Schizosaccharomyces pombe: one gene and its partner. The gene in region 1 interacts genetically with each later gene. Each region holds a gene or a part of one and is shown in the gene's direction. Other genes may lie near its edges.

What was found.
Region 2: mutations in ndi1 (region 1) and SPOM_SPBPB10D8.02C together harm fitness more than expected from each alone (negative genetic interaction), as found in Schizosaccharomyces pombe (one large-scale study listed by BioGRID).

What each region holds. Positions count from the first base shown.
Region 1 is NC_003423.3:637,348-645,649, forward strand, and holds ndi1 (NADH dehydrogenase), read left to right. Parts: upstream 1-3,946; 5' UTR 3,947-4,338; coding exon 4,339-5,994; 3' UTR 5,995-6,559; downstream 6,560-8,302. Other genes in the region: AFG1 family ATPase, read left to right, coding at 307-1,671; exosome subunit Rrp46, read left to right, coding at 2,027-2,081, 2,165-2,790; respiratory chain complex assembly protein Cbp6, read left to right, coding at 6,944-7,132, 7,200-7,322; rba50 (RNA polymerase II-associated protein), read right to left, coding at 7,873-8,302.
Region 2 is NC_003423.3:80,962-88,596, reverse strand, and holds SPOM_SPBPB10D8.02C (arylsulfatase), read left to right. Parts: upstream 1-3,078; 5' UTR 3,079-3,165; coding exon 3,166-4,830; 3' UTR 4,831-5,368; downstream 5,369-7,635. Other genes in the region: SPOM_SPBPB10D8.01 (cysteine transporter), read right to left, coding at 5,644-7,302.

The sequences.
Region 1 (8,302 bases):
AAAAGCAAACTGCACTGCCGAACGCTATTCAGAGGCAAGAATAATCATGCATCTGTCCAACGATTTATATTTATTCACTTAAAAACATATGTCTTTAATCACTAAGTACGTCTTGTAGTTGACATATTTTCTTTCTAATCTTTTGCTTTTCATCTACAATCGTTCTACAGCTTTATATCCACTCTCACTTTATCATTCCTGAATGAATTCACTAATTGATCAATAACCACTTTTTTTCTTTACTTTAGTTAGCTTACGAAACATTATTTTTGTTCAAAAGTTTGTATTTAATTTGGTCATATCATCATGCTGCAAGTGCTTCGTGTTTCAGCTCCTTGTTTTGCTTTTGTTGATACTATAGGAAGCATTGGAGTTTGCAGGGTAGTTCGCTTTACCACATTTCATAATACACCTATTGAAGTATACAACAAGAAAGTTAATGACGGCGTATGGAAACGTGACCCGTATCAAGAAACAGCGGTTAAAGCAATCAACCGTTTGTATACCGAATTGGAATCGTATACACAACCTCCAATAACGCAAGATAGTATGCCAGCTGAAAAGGGATCAATCCTATCTTGGATATCCCCCTTAAAGAAAATGTTTTCTAGGAAGAAGTCTCCCACTCTAACTTCTTCTTTACCTGTACCGGGTATGCCTAAAGGTATATATCTATATGGTGATGTGGGCTGTGGTAAAACCGCTTTGATGGATCTATTTTATCACAACTTACCACCCAATGTTACTCGTTCTCAGCGCATTCATTTCCATGCATTTATGATGCAAGTTCATCGCACTTCACATGATTTGCAAGATCGTTATGGGTTTGAGATTGATTTTATAGATCATATTGCATCCGGAATAGCAAAAGAAACAACAGTGCTATGTTTTGACGAATTACAGGTAACCGATGTCGCGGACGCTCTTTTACTACGCAGACTCTTTGAGGCCCTTATGAAGTATGGTGTTGTTATCTTTATTACTTCTAATAGGGCTCCTTCTGATTTGTATAAAAATGGAATACAAAGAGAGAGCTTCATTCCTTGCATTAAACTTTTGGAACATCGTCTTCAAGTAATTTGTTTGGACAGTCCAAACGATTACCGACGCCTAAAATCTAAAACAGAAGATACATATCTTTATCCTGCTAATAGCCCAGAAGTTAAGAAAGCCTTGGAAAATTGGTTTCTTTGCTACGCTGATGAGAAAGATCCTGCTCACCAAGACGAAGTTGAAGTATTTGGGAGAAAGATAATCGTTCCAAAAGCAAGTGGCAACGTTGCATGGTTCACCTTTGAACAATTATGTGGAGAACCGAAAAGCGCTGCCGACTATCTTTCATTGGCAAGCCGTTACCATGTTTTCATCGTTTCAGACATTCCCAAATTGAGTATCGAGTCGAAAGACCTTATCCATAGGTTCATTACATTTATTGATGCCCTTTATGACACCCATGGAAAACTCATCTTATCATCTGAAGTTCCAGTTCAAGAAATATATCCGACAGCACCTTCTGAAGTACTTTCCTCTACGGCTGATCCTGCTGCCAAGGGGAAAATTGAATCTCACTATCATGGAGCATTTGGTGGGATTGAAGAGGTATTTACCTTCACGCGTTGCTTGAGTAGACTTTCAGAAATGAAAAAACAATCCTGGATTCATTCTCCTTAATACAAAGGTGATTCCTTTATAATGAGATTATATATCATGATGTATTATTTTTAAAAAAATATTTTGAAAGATGGCTATGAGTAATTTCTAATTTTTTAGTGGTTGGGCTGTTACAGATCATTCCAGTTTCTCCTATCATTCAGCTTTAGTAAAGTAAAAATTGGAAGAATTTAATTACAAACCCTTATTAATACAACTCCCATTGTCACCAAACTATTGATACATTTTTTTCTGCTCTCATTCTGTTTTCGAATAACGAGGTGTAAGCTAGCTTATTTCCTACTTGTGCAAAGGAAGTAGAAACGTTTCTTCTGTCTCTGCAAGCAAGCAACTTTGTTGCATTATAGAAGCTGAAATGAACCGTATAGGTATCCTCTCAAGGTCTGATGGCTCGAGCGAATGGAAACAAGGTAATGCTATTATCCACGGTATATTAGCCAAGCAAATGCCAATTAAAAAAAAATGAATTTTCTTTATGCTAACATCATTGTAGGTTCTGCTAGGGTTATTTGTGGTGTCAATGGTCCTATTGATGTAAAAATCAGGGACGAAAGGCTTAACAAGGCCACCGTTGAAGTTTTGGTTCAACCTGTGAGTGGTGTCGCTGAGACTTTGGAAAAGATGATTTCTAGCAGAATTGTTGGTATCCTAGAAGATGCAATATTTCTAAACACATATCCAAGAACACTTATACAAGTGTCAATTCAGATAATAGAGGAAGATGGCACAGATACATTGGCTGCCGTAATCAATGGTGCGGTACTTGCTTTATTGGACGCAGGTATCTCTTTAAAATATATTCCCTGTGCAATAAATTGTCACTGGAAGAACAAAATAACTCAAGATGAACCTGATGTCGATGGGACAATTAACAAATTGGAGTCTATTATTACTATTTGTTATTCAATTTCCTCAGAACCAGCCAAATTAATTTTTCTCGAAACAGCTGGCCCCATTCCAGAAGAAGATTTTTTCCGTGTTCTGGAGACAGCACCATTGCATGCCGAGGAAGTTTCTAAGAAAATGAAAGAATTGCTTTTTGAAACGTACAACGAGAGCGATGGTCATGAAAATGAAAAGAACCCCAAAGAGGATGTTGAGATGGATGTGGTTGCATAAGAAAATCAATAAAGTGCATGTAAAAAGTCCATCTCAAGGACCTTCGTTTCGTATTTACCATTGTACCTGTTAAACGACTATACCTTTGAACAATATCTTTGGCTGTTCATTTTTATACTTAGATTTTATATTACTTGGGCGATATACATTGGGTTATTTTTAATTTATTTTAGTTTATTACTAATTGAGAAACCAGAACCTAAACAATCCTACTACATTAGAAGGTTTACTGTCATTCTTTCAATTCACTAGCAATTAATGTGTTCTTTCAATACTTCAATGTATGCTGATACATTTGGGTTAAATCATAAAAGAAGATCTGTCATAAGACAATCGTTCAGTACAAGGCCTTGGGTATATACACTCATGACTTTTTTTTTTAATTTTGCCACTCACTCACTTACTCTATACATATTGAGTCTATCTAACGTATCAAGCTGTTAACTAAGAGAAACGATTTGAAAACACATAGGAAGGTCGCACACATTAGCTGTCTTATATACTACTGAATTTTAAGTTTAGGAAATCATTGAAGGTAAAATAGGTAGAAAAGTGAATAAAAGGCATTCATACCCAGGACAAAGCATTGCCTTCATAAACTGGGAATTTGCCATACACTAAAAAATTACTGTTGCACAACTTTTCCTAAAAAGTAATCTAATGTAGTAATATTATACTACAGCAGGTATTAATATTTTTTCACATGTCCTTTTTTTTATGTGTTCGCCAAATATGACGGTTATAAATTTAGTTAAATACTTTTGATTGAAGGTACTATTAGCTACAATTTATGAATAGAGATCAATTGACCCGGTTCTCAGTCCAGTTATAAGCTGATTCAACGATGAGTTACACCCTTCATGCCACAAAATTTATAGCATTTGTCACCCATATCACTTTTTTTAGGACAAATAACATACACTACCAATGTAACATTAAATGTGATAACACAGTGCGTTGCTAACATTTAGCAATTCTTTTCTTACCACGTAATACTTTTTATGGATAACCTTATTCCGCGTTATTTTTCCCCACTCACAGCACACTTGATTGCCGAGTCCAATCAAGTTGATATGAATAACCGTGATGACGGAATTAGGGCGCTTCGTAGACCTTAATTGTTTACATACAAAATGTTCAGCTATGCAGCCCTTTCGTCCACATTCAACACTCCCCCATCTCTTCTTAAAAAAAAAATAAGCAGAAAAACTCGTTTTCTGTAAAGTAGAAGGTATTTTAGAATACACTACAATTTTTTCTAGTAAAACTATTATTGGATACCTTTTTTTCGCAGTTCTAAAGGCTTATTTCTGCTAGTTATAGTAATTCACTGTGTATTTAGGAGAGGACTCAAGGTTGTCGTTCTCTCTTTCTATTACTGTCTATTAATATCGTAAAATAGCTCAATTTTGAATGGGTTTATCTCTTTAGTTTGCTTGCTCTTTAACATTTGTCATTATCTCATACATTTTTTTACTCACGCCTCCCTACCACTTATCACTTAGTCCTATTTAAGGGGAAATTTGTTTACTTCTTTTTTCTTAAAAAATGTCGGTCTCAAAAGCTAGACTACAGTCTGTGGTTCGCCTGTCTCGTACAGTGCCATATTCAAAAACGATGGTTCGTTCATTTCATGTATCCTGTGCTGTAAAGAACAGTGGGAATGTTCCTACACCCCGTAACAAATCATTTTTCTCTCGAGCACTTGAAATGGCGGAAGTTACTTCTTCTTTGTCCATGTTGGGTGCCGTAGCCCTCTTCCAATCCTTACGAAGACTGAACAACAGTTCGCCAAAAGGAAAATCTGGTGTTCCGAAAAAGAACATAGTTGTTTTGGGTTCTGGATGGGGTGCAGTCGCGGCAATCAAAAATTTGGACCCGTCCTTGTACAACATTACCCTCGTGAGCCCTAGGGACCATTTTTTATTCACCCCTATGCTTCCTTCATGTACCGTGGGTACTTTGAGACTTCCAAGTATTACTGAGCCCATTGTGGCTTTGTTCAAAGGAAAAATTGATCCCTCCAACATTCACCAAGCTGAATGCACTGCCATCGACACATCGGCTAAGAAAGTTACCATTCGTGGTACGACCGAAGCTAACGAGGGAAAGGAAGCGGTTATTCCGTATGATACGCTTGTTTTTGCTATTGGAGCTGGTAATCAAACATTTGGTATCCAGGGTGTCCGCGACCATGGCTGTTTTCTGAAAGAAGCGGGAGATGCCAAGAAGGTGTTTAACCGCATCTTTGAAATCTTGGAACAAGTTCGATTCAATAAAGATCTTTCTCCCGAGGAACGGGCTCGTCTCTTACACATCACTGTTGTTGGTGGTGGCCCTACTGGAATGGAATTTGCAGCTGAGATGCAAGATTTCATTGATAACGACGTTAAGGATATGTTTCCCGAGCTTCAAAAAGACATCCATGTCACGTTAATTGAAGCTGCCCCCGGTGTTCTCCCCATGTTTACTAAATCTTTGATTACGTATACGGAGAATTTATTCAAAAATCTTAACATTAAGATCATGACTAAAACCGTGGTTAAAGATGTTAATGAGAAGAACCTTATCGTTCAAAAGACCAACCCTGACGGAAGCAAGGCTATGCAAGAGATACCCTACGGAATGCTCGTTTGGGCTGCCGGCATTACTGCTCGTCCACTCACTCGTACATTGATGTCTTCTATCCCTGAACAAAGCGGTGCGCGCAAAGGTTTAATAGTTGATGAGTTTTTTAGGGTCAAGGGTGTACCTGAGATGTACGCCGTTGGTGATTGCGCATTCTCTGGATTACCTGCTACTGCTCAAGTTGCTAACCAACAAGGTGCTTGGTTGGCTAAGAACTTGAACGTCGAAGGAAAGAAGTTTGCATTGCATGAACGGATTCAAGCTCTTGAAAAACAGTTAGGTGAGAAAGAGGCTCCTTCTCAGGTTGCCGGATTGAAACAGCAAGTGGAGCAGTTGAAGTTAGAGCCCTTTAAATACCATCATCAAGGAGCTTTAGCTTACGTTGGAGATGAAAAGGCCATTGCCGATTTAAAATTGCCATTTATGAAAAAGATGCTGCCTTTGCAGGGAATTGTCGGCCACACCTTTTGGAGACTTGCATATTTAAATGAGTTGATTTCTGCTCGATCCCAATTCATGGTGTTGATTGACTGGTTGAAGACAAGACTATTTGGACGTTATGATGCTAAGGTTTAATGAACGGAATGAAATACTTTTGGTTTACAAGCAATTGTTTCCTTGTGCTTTGTCGTTAATCATAAGATGATTATTTTATACTTGAAAAAGGAACGTATTTGAATAACAGATTTCGAGATGAACGATTCGTTTCGACTACTACTTTGATAATTTAAGTTTATGTTATTCTAAATGATAATACTGATGCCTTATTTGTTCTATGATGGAATAATTCTTAGTGTTACTCCATTGATGTATGTAGAAAAGCTGGAAGTTAACAGTTGACAGGTAGTACAATTTCGTTACTCAACGAGACTATATGTTGCATATGAACTGAAAGAATTATATTTATGTCTTACTGTATTCAGAACCACTTTAATTAGAGCCCGTATAAACCATGTTCTCTGCTTTTAGCTAGCTAATCGTATAATTAATATGCCATGCTGGCTTCACCGGCACTAGATTCGTTGTACAGTATTATATTACACTACCCCATCAGGAACCGTTTCACAAAAAACCCGTTCGCTTACATAGCAACATTTCTTAGATAATTTCATATTTCTAATCCACTCCAAATAAGATATCCTTTCTTATATAGATTGAAAGTTTTAAAATACTGCTTAAATATGCTTAGTTGACTCTACCTTGCTCACTTCAATTTTAAACCGTTTTCAAAGGTTCTATCAACTCCATCGCACCGGTACTTTTTAAGATCATTTAATGATATACGTTGTATAACATAATAGATGATTCACTAAAAAAACTCACCGTAGTACTGATTGCATCCTTATAAGCCTAACAAAATATGTAATTATTCTGTTAAGTTATTTACAATATTTGTATTTGCCGCTCAATATTGTTTAGCGCAATAAGGTGATATAGCCTGGCCAAAGCAGAGAATGTCGAAGAATCTTTCTACTTGCAAAGCAATTGAAAGTTGAGGCTTTATTCTTGTTTTTAACCCTCAATAATGTCTCTAAACCAAAAAATAACAAAGGCAGTTGCTCTTTGGCCGAAGGATGAATTGCGACCTTGGTTGTCGTTTCCTAAGACTCTTGACACATCTATTAGAGCCAGACTTCAAAAGATGCCACCTCAACAGGCTAATAAGCAGTTAAACGCTTTGAATAATTTGCTTGATAATGTCTATTGGAATAAGGTATGCTTCTTATTACGTGCCTTGATAGGGTCGCCTTACCTTTGTTCGCCTTTTAACCAAATTGTAGTATATCCCCAAGCAAGTAGTATTGAAACCACAATTTAAACCTTCTTACTACGAAAGTCTTACCCAAATAAGAAGAAAAGAAGAGAAAGCTCCTCTTTGGAAAAGATTGTTTAAACGGAAATGAACTCCCATTATGCGCCTGCGAGACATCCTATTTATTTATGCCTTGATTTCATAATACTTCAATTAATGTGTTACTTCTATGACTTTCTAGGTTAAATGATCTTTCGAGATATATACTTTTTTTATATCTCTTTACTGCGCCTTGATGAAAATTTAAAGACAAAGTGATATCTTACTAGTTATGAGGGTGGGCTATTTTAATCTAAATTGTCTGTCTCAATGTCATTTCTTGTGTTAAAAATTCATTTTCGACTAAATAACGAATGGAAACACGATAAAAGTAGATAAATAAAAACTGTCCTTATAAAGCATTAGTATAAAAAATATATTCATTGCAGCACCACTTTCGATTACCAAGTAAAATCTCTCAGCAATGCGACAATTTCGAAAAAAGTAAAGACCAAAAAAAAAACCATCCTTTTTTTGATACAAAAAAAAAAAAAAACTAGTAATACACATAAACCAAAACAAATAGAATCGTCACATTCAGATACAAATGATAAAACATTCTTCATAATTTTCTGTTTCCTTATAAAAAAAAGCTTGCTTCTTTAAACAGCCGATCTCGATGAGCCGTGTTGACTTTGTGAACATAACCAAAGTGCCTCAATTGCTAATGAGCGTACAGTGAGGTGCTTTACTTGGTCACTGGCAGCGGCGGCAAGTAATTCATAGATATGTGCATCTTCGACTAGTGTATGCAATTCTGGACTGAGCACCTCTCTGAATTCGCCAGAGTTTAATCGGTAAATAATCCTTCCAATAGTCTGAATAGCAATGCATCTCTGGGTTGGGAAACTTGAACGCAAAAGATGAGCCAGCTCAACTAAAGTGTATCCGGCACTAAATGGTGCGTCTCCATGATGATGAAGTCCTTCATTAACAGGGATTGTTTGACTTTGAGAGGGGGTTATAATTTCACCTTTGAAGCCAAATCGAATTTCATGAGCATGCAAACTCTCGACAGAAGGATGATAACTA
Region 2 (7,635 bases), 560 kb from region 1:
GTCTTTACAGTCGAAAACCAAAGAATTCTTAAAGTAAGGGTTAAATATGTAGTAGGAGGAGTTTTAGGAATTTCAAATAGCAACCCAATGATATACAATGGATACATTTTCCAACTTTTAATTGCTTGGAATAGAGTTTTTGGAGTAATTGCTTCTCGGTTATGCATTTCAGCTTTTGCAAAATCATCTCTGAGAACCTTATTAACAATTATTTTCTCTTCTCTCTCAGAAAACCATCCCTTTCTCCCTCGAAACATGAAGCCGTTTGCATTGGACTTGGTGGTAATAAATAGATAATCCTCCAATAAAGTAATAAAACCTTTAGTCAAAAACAAGTATGCCCAACCTGGCTTTCCATGAAGTCCACGCATCTTTAATATGCCTACAGCTACAATAAAAGCAAAAATATCTGACAAGGTATTAGAAATCCAAAAAAATTGCTAAGCGTAAAGAGATTTCTTGTCCATTATAAAAATAAGATTAATACAAGATGACGACGGGAATAAACCCTCCTTCAAGCATACCTAGAAGCCATCTCATAATTTAAAATAATGCTGTTCCACTTAAAGAATATTGACAAATATAAACAATGCTCCATAAAACCATTTGGGTTGGAATCCAGCGATTGGGACCTATCTTCTTGCTAATTAATTGAGATGGCAGTTTTGCCGCTAAAAAGGAACAATAAAATATTGTCATACCCTTATTGTAATCATTAGTATTCATTCCTAAATCATCCAACATGTTATCTGAAAGGGCTTGTTGAATATTGGCACGATCTAATTCTAGTGCAAAAAACATAATGAATGCCCATGAAATAATGAGCATATCTATTTTACGAACAACTTTTTGTTCCTGACCCATATCCATCTAAAAAAAGGATCGATGCGGTGTCTACTTTCATAGTAAGGACTAGGTTTGAAAGCAGCTAACGTATTAGGATCATCAAAAATGGATTTTTTTGTTGTAATGGAGTTTGGATCTAGCTTTCTCCGTTTCCAAAAAAATTTCGAAAATTCCTAGGGCTCTCCAAGTTCAAGCATATTGTCCTCATGAGCAGATTCATCATCACCTAATTTCTCAAATATAGATGCTTCATCCTTTTAATCAGTATCGTAGATAATACCATTTTGATATACTTCATGTTGCTCATCTGAGGACTCGCTTTCACTTTCAATAATGCGTTGTTGAACTAAGTTGTAATATTTCTGGTTTAATCAGCTAATGATCCACCGTATACGATTTTTCCAAGTACTATAGTTAAAAAAAGATGTCCGCTCAAATAAATATTTATATGCCTATACTAGTAGCACTTTACATGCCGCTACATTATATATAAAAGTGAACAGCCAATTAATTTTGCTTTTTAATCATTTCCAAGTCATTTAAAATTCCTTGCAATAATAAGCGTATATGGGAATGTAGTTAGCACAATTACTTGCTTCGGCTCAGACAACCTATTATTATAATACAGCTTATTTTATAATAATATTATTAGCTTTTTACCCATCGAACACAAATGAAAACATGCTAAGAAAAGGAATGTTTAAACAAAATTATTATAGTCATAATCTAGGATGCATTTACCGAGTAACAATGACAACTTAACACGTGTAAATTCTAATTTGTAATTAAAACGATTTGCTATTACTATTTAAATGTAAACCAAGTTTGAATACATCCGATATAATAATGAGTAAAAAGAAAATAGTGGGTGCTGCTCAATAAGTTTACACTTTAACATAATATCAGACCAAATCTGATAAATATGAATTTACGTAACTCTTTTGATATAATTTGAATTCACTTATAATTGCAATTGATAGTACCAAAAGTGCGTTGAAGGGAAATGATGTATGGATTGTTTGAGAATGTTACATCTTTTCTCGGATCCAACATTACGCAAAGATCCTTTCTGTACAACAACTTAATCCTTTAACTTTACAAGTTCCTACAATTGAAACAAGTTGTTTTTGTATATTGTGAATGTCTTAAGATGTTCTTTATCTGTATTTTTTAACAATTGGTCCACTATTTTTGAACTTAGGAAGTCTAATTATTGGACGGCCCTTAGTTACGGAAACAATTTACCAAGAAAAAAATCTTCAGATATATAGCATTAAGCTTTATTATGATACATCTCGATACTTTTATACTCTTCATATCTTCATATATATTACGTCCACTAATCGAGATTATTAAATTCCAATTGTAATAATTAAGTATTATTTTAATTTCAAACGAAAAGAGAATCCGAGGTCAGTTGTAAATTAATTATTACCACTTAGTATGAAAATATTCGTGTCTGATATTTCATATCAATAAGACAATACAAAGGACCAAAACGTAATTTTAATCGCAGTTTACCCCCATTAAATTGTATGAAATTCGTATCACTCAACAAATCTAGGTATAAATATGATTTTTCTCAGTTATTGTCAAAAGCAAAATGTTATTATATCTAATTTATCTCATAGAAAATATGTTGAATCTTCCACTGACATTTCTCGTTGAAAGTTCAAAATAACGAAAATCGACGTCCTTGTTAATTATCATTTGGTATCTTTTAGAAAATTAATGTTTTCTTATATGTATAAAGCTTCAAAATCTATTTAGGTTCCTTTGTAGTATATTACCGAAACCGATTTTTTCTAGAGTAAAGCATTTATTGATATAAAGATCAATTAATATAATTTGGCGAGTGTTTAAATATTTTCACATATTTTCCTTTGGGATTGATAACTCAATTAATATTTCCTTGATAAATAAAAAAAAAAAGTCAATTCCTGGTCAGTAAACTCAGTTTTGCACATATTGAGTGAGTGACAGTAATTAGTTTTAAACTTGATTTACTGAATCTTATCTCTAAAATATTCAGATAAGTAAATTACAGTTTGATCCAGTAAATTGGAATGTATGAGTATCTTTTTTAATATGGATGATGTTACTCAAAGCTTACGTGATAGCACGCCATACTTCTTCATTAGGTATTTGTAATTTTGCAATCTATTACGGAAGACAATTGTTGCAAATATATTTTTTCATATTTTAATCAACTTGTGGGCTGTCTCTTGTCTCACATGCCCTTTATGAACATAAAATAAAAATTACAGTTTGAGCTGCATAAAAATTTATTCGCAATCAAAAAAAATTTGAATAGTAACTATGGCTTTTAATAAACAAGCTGAATCTAAAAAACCAAACTTTTTGGTCATCGTAGCTGACGATCTTGGATGGTCAGATGTTTCTCCGTTTGGAAGTGAAATACACACTCCAAATATTGAGAGGCTTGCAAAGGAAGGTGTACGGTTGACAAACTTTCATACAGCCTCTGCTTGCTCGCCTACTCGATCTATGTTATTAAGCGGTACAGACAATCACATAGCAGGTTTAGGGCAAATGGCAGAGACAGTACGCAGGTTTTCGAAAGTATGGGGTGGAAAGCCTGGGTACGAAGGCTACCTAAATGATAGAGTTGCTGCATTACCAGAGATTCTACAGGAAGCGGGTTACTATACCACAATGTCTGGAAAGTGGCACCTTGGACTAACCCCAGATCGTTACCCTTCAAAGCGAGGATTTAAAGAATCTTTTGCACTTTTACCTGGAGGTGGTAATCATTTTGCATATGAACCTGGTACTAGAGAAAACCCTGCTGTACCTTTTTTACCACCATTGTATACCCACAATCATGATCCTGTTGATCACAAAAGCTTAAAAAATTTTTATTCGTCCAATTACTTTGCAGAAAAATTAATTGATCAGTTAAAAAATCGTGAAAAATCCCAGTCATTTTTTGCTTACCTCCCATTTACAGCACCTCATTGGCCGTTGCAATCACCAAAAGAATATATTAATAAATATCGTGGACGATATAGTGAAGGCCCCGATGTGTTACGAAAAAATCGCTTGCAAGCCCAAAAGGATTTGGGACTTATACCAGAAAATGTAATTCCAGCACCTGTAGATGGAATGGGAACCAAGTCATGGGACGAACTAACAACAGAAGAGAAAGAATTTTCTGCGCGAACGATGGAAGTTTATGCTGCAATGGTCGAATTATTAGATTTGAATATTGGTCGTGTTATTGACTACTTGAAAACTATTGGAGAACTTGACAACACATTTGTTATATTTATGTCAGACAACGGTGCAGAAGGGTCAGTTTTGGAAGCAATCCCGGTATTAAGCACAAAACCACCGGTTAAGTATTTTGACAATTCACTGGAAAACTTGGGTAATTATAATTCATTTATTTGGTACGGACCAAGATGGGCACAGGCTGCGACCGCTCCTTCTCGACTTAGCAAGGGTTTTATTACAGAAGGTGGTATTCGATGTCCTGCTATAATTCGCTATCCTCCATTGATCAAGCCAGACATCATCTCCGATGAGTTTGTTACGGTTATGGATATCCTGCCAACCATCCTTGAGTTAGCAGAAGTCCCTCACCCAGGGCACAAATTTCAAGGACGAGATGTTGTAATCCCCCGTGGGAAACCTTGGATTGACCATTTTGTGCATGGAAAACCCGTACACAAAGATACTGACTTTAGCGGCTGGGAACTTTTCGGGCAAAGAGCTATCAGAAAAGGAAATTATAAGGCAATATATGTACCTAAAGAAGGAATAAAAACAGAATGGGAGCTGTATGATCTTTCCCAGGACAAAGGTGAGCTTGAAAATCTAGCGAAAGTCCATCCAGATATTCTAAACGAACTCATCGAGTATTGGTTGGTCTACGAAGCTGAAACTGGAGTAGTAACAGCCCCAGACGATTTTGTTGCCGAAAACGTCGGTTTGTTCAAACCAGCTAAGCACAATCTTTAATGATTATTCATGATATTGAATTTTACAATAATTTTTTACTGTTAATGAAACACCACATAGCAGTTTATTAATGGTAAAAAACTTATTGCAAATATGGAACTCGGGTTCAGCTAATTGTTTAATTTAATGGGCTATTTCCAGTCTTTTACTTATTAAACACCACAGTTTAAAGATTATAAAATCTAATAATAGCTGATTTCATCTATCAACGTATATATGCTAAGTTACCAATTGATTCAATGTTTTTTAAATATGATAATCTACAGCGAAAATTATCAGATGGAATGCAAAGCCGAGCTGAAAAATTTAACTGGTTTGGATTTCCCCTACGTATTAGGCTTTATAATTGATATAAAAATACTTTTTTAGAACATCTCTTTTTCAATCGCAACTTTGCAGCAAAGTAAACTATGAGAAACCATTGGGGATAAAAATCGACCTCCATTTTATTTAGCAATGAATGCTAGTTCTTCTTTTCAATCTATGTAAATAGTAACTGAATAAAGCTTTCAGCAATATATACAAACAAAATTTCAAACTATTCTTCGCTAAAGACGAAGATTACTATTAAAGGTTAGGAATCCTAAAGGAAACAAAAAAACAAGTAAATAAAGCAACTGTCTTGTAGTAGTCTAAAATAAGTTAAGAGTTTACGGGCAAGTAGTTTAAAAATACAAAATTTTGCAAAAAAAAAAGCAAATAGTAGAAGGATTTTTCATGACTGTTGGGAATTTGAAATTATTTTGTAAACATTTCTCATGAATACTTCAAAAAGTTATTTTTTAAGATTTATTCCTTCGTTTAAATGGATAATTATAAGGGATAAATAAACGATAGGTTCTCCTGGTCTGTCAAATCAAGCATAGAATTTTCGTAAAAACCGGAAACGTGATTTCCAGAAGAATCAATCGTCTCAATCCAAGTCTTTTCATACTGTTCTTTATTCTGCTCAAGAAGAGCAAGGCGCTTTTTGTTCCTTCGAACAAGAATCCAGCGAATGATCAGCAATACAAAGGGAGAAACAGACCAAGCAATTACTATTTGAACAATCCAAGCAGGATAATATCTCGGGGCATCACGACTCTGCCACATTTGTGGGCCAATGATGTTGGCAATGGCATATCCAATCATAAACATAACACCACGAGTAAGCTTCTTTGTGTATCCAGCACAAGAGGCTGTTGTCCATCCAAGAGAAATAATAAAAGGGATACCAAAATTGCTTGCTATAATAATAGCTGCTAACTCCCCAATTTTATGATCCCATGACATGGCTACGCACGCAATTCCTCCGGCAATACTTGGGATATACCATATAGCTCCGTGAAAGGCACTTTGGTTTTTTATCACACTCATCATATAAGTTGCTATAATTGCGCTAACGCAATTATATCCGGCACTAGCGACGCCCACCAAGGTAGAATTCAAATCAGAAACATTCAAGCTTGTAAAAAGTAAATTTTGTTGGTAAGCTAAATTGTTGGAAAGTTGATTGCAAAAAACATGAAAAGTAAATAACCATGTCACTGGATCCTTTAACGCCTCGATTACTTGATACTTCTTGAAAGTCTTCGACTCAATACCGCTATGATTACTTCTACGTACACGGTCAACTGTGTATAATCTCTCTTTCTTGGTCAAGAATCTAGCAGTAGAAGTATTATCTGGGTAATAAAAAAAGAGTCCAATAGTTAAAAAAAATGTGATTCCTCCGACGATTATCATAAAGAGCTTCCAAGGAGATATGGTGTTTTTTGCATATTGGACTCCATAGGCTATAAACCCTGCAGGAATATTACAGCCATAGCATGAAATATAGAAAAAGGGCTGAAGAAGAGCTTGCTCAGAATGAGGGAAAAACATGCCAATGGTTGCTTCCATGGTAGGTAGCAACGAGGATTCTACAAGACCCAGAAAAAAACGAAGTGCCATTAAACCACTAAAATTATATGCGGCGCAATGCAAGAAAATTATAATCGTCCAGAGAGCCGTTGAAGCAGCAACAAACTTACTGACGGGAAATCTTTGCAGTAACATATGACCAGGGATCTGTCCAATAACAAATCCCACATAAAAAAGCGTATTTATATCATTGTATTGGTTGCTATTTATGTGTGTATCTTCAAATAATCCAAGGATACTTGAGTAACTTAGTGTGGCCTTGTCAATGTATAACATCATATCCAGTATCATGAGCATTACAAGTACAGTAAAATACAATTTCCAACGCAATCTTTTATCTTGTTTAGGTGTGAGCGGTTCTAGATCTTTAGCTTCTTGCATAAAACTGAACGTTTCGTCAAGCACTGCATTTGACACATCTGGATGCGACTGAGACGAGCTCTTAGAAATATGAGAAGTTATAACATGTGGAAAATATCCTTTTTCCTTATCAACATATTCTTTGGGGTCTTTCTCATAATCTGAAGAATCTTCAACGTTAATCTGATCAGCGTAAGAGGGTTGAGGCATTTTATTTGTCTTGCAGCCGGTTTTTTTCCGCTTCAAAATGTAATCCTTTGTTTAAGTATAAAATTCTTAGTTTACTTCGTTTATCATAGAATTAGTCCCACTTTGATCACTTCATACATGGAAATGAAAACAGTTAAGTCTTAGCACAATGAACAAACAAATTAAAATTTCCGAATTATTTTTTTATTTTAGTTCAAATGTCTCGCCGAATCGTTTTTTAAATGGTCCTCTTTTGTTCGTTAAACTCGCTTTTAAAAAGAATCGTTTACCAAATCTTGGAAAGCTAATCAAGAAAAAAAACACCATTTATATGATAGATATTTGTTTAGGGTA